2 linked regions of the Tribolium castaneum genome follow. The protein of the gene in region 1 binds, or shares a complex with, the protein of each later gene. Links are inferred from orthologs where the notes say so. Each region holds a gene or a part of one and is shown on either strand. Other genes may lie near its edges.

Region 1 (3,185 bases):
TGGTGATCATCATTGAATGGAATTGTTTTAGCGACAAAAACCCTGCTATTGTTCATAAACTTCGGGATAAATTCCACGAAACAAATTTTATCAAGCTTTTTCAATTTTCGGAAACAGACAAGAACTTTGTTCTTTTCCACACAATACTGCCAAAAACTAGCAAAGAGGTCCAGCTCTTCCTTAGGATCCACCTCGATGATTACCGGGTTTGTCAAAACAATGCCCACATCCGTGACCCTGTCAGACACCTGAACTAGGGTGTAACCAATTGGTAGGTCTGTGTTTCTAATTTTGAAGCGTTCACTAACACTGAACTCGAGTGAGCCTAACTCATAGTCAAGCTTGTAGGTTTCAATGGAGTCATTTACTGTTTTTGAAACCTTTTTCAAAAGTTTTCCACTTTCGGAAACGGAAGCGTTGTTGTAAAGTCGTTCCTCTTGGACAAACGACTTCTGCCTGATTTTAAGAAACCGTGTTTGGTCATTCGCAAAAGGGAAAAACAGCAACCTCCTTTGATAAAATCTCCTGACAACTGAGGAAGAAAGTTTCTCAAATAAACCATCTTCATCTTCCACAACTGTCTCAACGGGAGGGCTCTTAATGATTGAAAATAACTCATTGTAGAAAATTTTATAATCGAAGTTGGGCTTCATGGTCACCAACTCGAAAGTGATATCATTAGACTCGAAATTTTTTGCTTCGTTAAGTGCAGCAAATCTTTGGTTCTTGTCACCACGAACGGGGTTATCGTCGTTGGTTATGAAAATGATCGTTCTTTTGTAGAACACCGAATTGACTTCCTTGAACTTTTTTTTGCAAAAGAGGAAAAATGAACTCAAATTTAAGCCGCTTTTTCTTTCATACATATCCAACAATTTTTCCTGCGACAATTCATTCTTTTCTTTAAGCAATTTTATTGATTGTAAGATGTTATCGTTGAAATTGACAAGCGACGCTGAAGCATCTTCACGTGCCAATACCACACCAAAAGGGCTCCAGCTTCGCTTATTTTGGACAAATATTAGCGAATTTGCCAGATTATAACAGGCAGAAATGCAATCCTTAAACGGGGTATTGCCATCGCTTTCGTTTTTAACAAACATCGAAGGGTCGGTATCGATTGCAATGAGGACGAAAGATGGTTTGTAAAACGTGTTAGAACTTGCAGATTCGTCTCCTACGTCTTCGTTATCTGACATCTGAAAAGAATAAGTTCATAAAACATCTTTATTTATAAACGTATTATCAATAGGTAGTAACATTTCTCACCTTGATTAATTAATTAACAGTAAACAATCAAAAAGAACAACAGCAACAAGTTTACACAAAGTTGCGCCAAATTTGACGTTTTGTTGACAATCCCCTTGAAAGCGAACCACCAGAAAACATAAATCCAAAAATGCGAATAAATAAGTCTAACATTTACTCTAACTATATGTTGCTGTACAACGGCACAAATTAATACGCGCCTAACGTAGTTTTTATGAAAAAGAATTAAATTAATTGTGTTTTCTATTATTCGACTTTGTGAGACTTGTAAACCTTGAACTTGGAATGGTTGACAATTAGCTATATAACCTTACTTTTTTCTAACATAACCTTGAACTGAGAGATTTAAAATATAATTTGCAAAATACACTATGCCCGTGGATCACAAAAGAATCAACGGTCCGGAAATTTCAATTCCGTACCAACTATTCGACAAATTAAATACAAAATCGTTGAAAACCCAATTCAGTGAAATAGTGCAGCCGAATGGGACACGAGCCGATGGCAGGACATCAACCGAACATCGAAAAATATGTAATTTGTCTTTAGGCCCTTGCGTGTTCCTTGATCTAATTTTTAATTTTCTAGTCTTGAAAACTGGGGTTGTTAGCCAGGCCAAAGGCTCAGCGTACATTGAATTAGACCAAACCAAAGTAATCGTGTCTGTATTCGACCCCCGCGAGATACCCAACAAAACTGACTACAGTTCCAAGGGCGAAATCTACTGCGAGTTTAAATTTGCACCCTTCAGCTGCCACAAACGTAGGTTGCACCAGCAAGACGCTGAGGAACAACAGTTCAGTGCTATTATGAAACAAGCGTTGGAATCGGCAGTATTCAGGCACGAGTTTCCGAATTTTCAAGTCGATATTTACGCAATGGTGCTGCACAATGATGGGGCTGCTCTAAGTGCGGCTATCACGGCAGCTGGGGTCGCCTTAGCACATGCTGGGATTCCAATGTATGATTTAATAACGTCAGTGACTTTAGCTGTGCAAGGGAATCATCTTTTGGTCGATCCAACTTTAGAAGAAGAACGTTTATGTCAAGTTCCTCTGTTTAAAGAAGAGGAAAACAATCACGGGATTGTTGTGCTGTCGGTTTTAGCGACACATGAGCAAATTTCACAATTTTATCAGAGTGGATATTTGTCGTACGCTTGCTTGAGTTCAGGCATTGAGATGCTTACTAATGCTGCTAAGGACATCGTTACTTTAGTTAAGAAATGTCTTGTGAAACATGTTATTAAGAGTGTAAGAATTGTTGAAGATTAAAGAAATAAATTATATTTTATTTAAATATTTTTTTCACTGTCAAGTAAGGCACTAAAGTTGAATTTTTATTACAAATATGGAGTTAAAAAAACAAAAAAAAATTCGCGAAGTATGAGAACTTTGGGATGTTATGCAACCAATAATACAGACTTTAGTAATTCAGTCTTTTTTAAACACTTTCAACACGATATAATTTATACTGAGAAGTACTTCTTGACATACACTTCAAAGTAGTATTGGAAGAATTTAAGATTTTGCTCAAACAATAAACGAATAAAAAATAATACCTTTTTAATTTTTTTCTTGGTCTCCGTGGTGGTCAAATTCAGAAATTAAACCGTTGAAAGTATAGAAATATGATGTCCTAGACTTTTTGAAAAAAAATTACTTCTTTACAATTTTTTGTATCTTCAACCATATTCGCAGCATTCGCAAAAATATAAAATGGAACGTAAATTGAGCGTTAATTCTTTGCGCACTGTCCCATATTTATCAAAATGCTGGGAATACGGTTGAAGATGCAAAACAGTGTATGGGACAAAGTTGTAGAAAATTAAATTTTCTTTAAAAAAATCTGGACACCATATTTTTATCTTCTACAGTTTAGGTATAAATTAACTTTGCATTACTTGACCACCGGTC
Region 2 (3,240 bases), on another chromosome or scaffold:
ATAAGGTCGTGGAAAACAGTTCCGGAGTTATTGCCCGATAAATGCTCCGGGTATCGAAATCAACCAAAATTTTCGCAAAAATTGATAAATCTGATTTTATAAAACCGGTTCAATTGACGCTTTTGGCACATCTAAAGGCTCTAGAGAAAAGTCCACAAAAGATAGTTTTCAAGTTATAGGTAAAAATCGTAAATTGAAGTGTTCTCATGTTTTTAACATATCACAACGTAGAGTATGGAATATAATATACGAAATTAAAGCCATAATGAAATTTCCCGCCCCGAAAGTATTTCAAAAAAAGTCAAAGTTGTTAATAAAAAGGGCTTCAATCTGTTTTTTTTTTTTTAATTGAGAATAAATGTCAATGGATGTAAAAAAACTTGGAATAATTTTCTCGTCGTTCTTGAAGATACTTTACCTCATGTTCTTTGAGATAAGCAAAAATGCTATCCCTATACTCCTCCATTTCAAAAAAGACATCTCTAGCATTGGTATTTGTGGAAACCGTTTGCTCTTTGAGCTCAATGTTCTCCACATCTGATTTCTCAATGCTCATCGGAATCTCCGATTTTCTCTTAAGTTGAGGCGCAGTAATTTCCTTCAATTTCTCCAAATTCTTTTTCCTTTCAATTTCGGCAAGTTCTGTCTTCGTGATAAACCTGTCCTCGGCCGTCCCTTTATACACATTACTCTTACTGATAAGTTTGAGCCTTTCATCGATTCTCGCTCTGTATTCATCATCCTCATACACAGTAAACGCCTCAAACTGGGCCACCGGAACCACGACATTCTTCTTATTCTCGTTTTTTTGCCCATTTTCCACCCGGTTTCCCAAAACGGTTGGCTTCTTCGTCTGGCAAAAAAGCAAACGTTTTTCCCATCCAAAGTTACCTCCAACTGTTAATTACCTGTTTTCCTTTAAGGGCTGCGTTATTAACTTTATTACTGTCAATCTCGCCCAGAACGCCCCGTTTTTGCTGGGCAGTCGTTCCCGGTTTTCGGCGCAATTCCGGCACCCGGTTTTCCTGGTCCTGGTGAATTCTTATCGATGCCATTCCTCTAACACACGTGCAAGTTTCTAATACCCGAAAAACGAAAAGTTTGCTGAACCGAAGGCCAAACTGAACCCCAACTTAAACACCCAAGCTACCCCTAACCGACAAAACGACTGTTTTTAACGGCCAGATGCAAAGAGCGCAGAGTGCGGGAAACGAACAGCTGAGAGACCGTTGAAATGACAAACGGGACCAATGGGAGCCCAGATTTAAGCAACGTCACACGAGTGGGGATAACATGTTTTGAAGGGTTTAACGGAATTTTGCACTAAATCAAAAATCAATCGACAATACTTGTTCCCAACCAAATGCCCTATTTGCAAGCAAATGTCTTCATTACAAAAATTGCATTATTCAACCGAATTTACTCGTTTCAAATCAAACGTTTCCCCCACCGTTGTCGGCAACCAATCAAAACTAACGTCATTAATAATGTCAATTGTCAAAAACGAAAAACGTGGTTATAAACAAATTCAATAATGTCAGAACAATACAAGTAATAATTGTAGTACTGTGAATAAATAACAAGGTGATTATCCTATGTTTTAGGATTTTGCACCCCGTCAAGTACTTCCGCGACCACTTGGCCCACAAAATCCGACCTGATGGGCGCGAATTTGGGGAATATCGCCCCATCGTGGTCAATTTGGGCTCAATTTCGACAGCCGATGGGTCTGCGATTGCCAAAGTTGGTCGCACGACGGTAGTTTGCGGCATTAAAGCGGTGAGTGTAATTGGAGGCATTCAATTTGCTAAACCAAACCTTAGGAGTTGTGTCAGCCCAAGGCTGAGGCTGCAAACGAGGGGTTTTTGATCCCCAATGTGGAATTACCACCGTTGTGTTCGTCAAAATTTCGGCCAGGACCCCCAACTGAACAAGCCCAAGTAGCGACCCAGTTAGTTGCCGATATTTTAAAAAACTCTGATTGTTTAGACTTAAAAACGTTATGTATATTTCCAGACAAATTAGCTTGGTGTTTATATGCTGATTTAATTTGTTTGGATTTGGATGGGGCGTTGATAGACGCGTGTGTTGTTGCGTTAATGGCAGCGCTTAAGTCAGGTAAAGACAATATTGTTTTTTTGTGAAAAATATAATTGCGCTTCAGTTACTTTGCCAGCGGTTCAGTACGATCCAGCCCTTGACAACAAGCAAGTGAATGTGCAAGAGAGGAAAGCTCTTAGTGTTACCAACACTCCAATAGCAACAACGTTTGCAATGTTTGATGAGTAAGCTTATCATTGTTGTTGTAAACTTTTTAATTTTTTGATTGTAGTAAAATTCTCATAGACCCAACAGTGGATGAGGAGGACTTAAGTACGTCTTTGGTGACAATTGTGGTGAAGGAAGAAGAGTTGTGTTTTGTTCACAAGCCAGGTGGCTGTGTTTTTACGGAAGAGCAACTTTTAAAGTGTGTGGAAGAAAGTACAAAACGTGCAACTGTGATTGAGGAAATTATAGAAACAGCTTTTAAAAGTTTATAATAAAAACATTTTTTTTTATAAATGTATATCCTATATTATTTAAATAAAAATTTTAACAGGTTCCACAGTAGGTTGTGTGATCATTTAACCGAATTTAAAATTAAATCACCACACATTTATAAAAAAATCTATTGTCTTTGTTACAGGATTGAAAAAATAAAAATCGGGAAAAATCAACACTTTACATTTTAACGAGTATACATATTGGTATTGCCAAATATTCAACACGTGTCTGAATTTATGTACAAAAAATACGAAACATTGCAAATAATATACATTATTACAAAATACTACAACTCACCACATAATCACATATGATACAAATGTAGAGACTAAGGATGTTAGATATTTTTACAAAGTATTTTACACATTTCGTTCAAAAGGGAAATAAGTCTACTGTATGTACAGTTAAAAGTTTGCGCCTAGGACAGGAATGGTAGTAGAAAAATACCAGGAACAATAAATAATAGGGGTTTTAATAAAAATTTGTATATTTTAACAATGTGTAATTTTACATCGTTGATGTTTTATAAAGTATAACATTTTGTCCTCGTTTATGCCTGATATCTTAATACTACAAATATTTTTTTGTTGATGATCCGATTTTAGAAGAATTAAAACAAATGTAACCAGAAAATGAAACATTACACAACCATTAATTGAGTATAAAAATAAAACTACTTAAAAACAATCATAAATT

What was found. Proteins that work in one complex are often made in the same cells at the same time.
Region 2: exosome complex component MTR3 (region 1) and exosome complex component RRP43 share a complex: the UniProt entries of both Homo sapiens proteins name them as parts of the RNA exosome core complex. The link is inferred for Tribolium castaneum from reciprocal best matches to the Homo sapiens genes EXOSC6 and EXOSC8.

The regions. Positions count from the first base shown.
Region 1 is NC_087396.1:13,655,898-13,659,082, reverse strand, and holds exosome complex component MTR3, read left to right. Parts: upstream 1-1,500; 5' UTR 1,501-1,640; coding exon 1,641-1,803; intron 1,804-1,857; coding exon 1,858-2,543; 3' UTR 2,544-2,568; downstream 2,569-3,185. Other genes in the region: X-ray repair cross-complementing protein 6, read right to left, coding at 1-1,199. UniProt on the Homo sapiens protein: Non-catalytic component of the RNA exosome complex which has 3'->5' exoribonuclease activity and participates in a multitude of cellular RNA processing and degradation events.
Region 2 is NC_087402.1:7,982,232-7,985,471, forward strand, and holds exosome complex component RRP43, read left to right. Parts: upstream 1-1,406; 5' UTR 1,407-1,534; coding exon 1,535-1,551; intron 1,552-1,604; coding exon 1,605-1,779; intron 1,780-1,823; coding exon 1,824-2,118; intron 2,119-2,164; coding exon 2,165-2,285; intron 2,286-2,332; coding exon 2,333-2,540; 3' UTR 2,541-2,610; downstream 2,611-3,240. Other genes in the region: CycA (G2/mitotic-specific cyclin-A), read right to left, coding at 419-853, 909-1,055. UniProt on the Homo sapiens protein: Non-catalytic component of the RNA exosome complex which has 3'->5' exoribonuclease activity and participates in a multitude of cellular RNA processing and degradation events.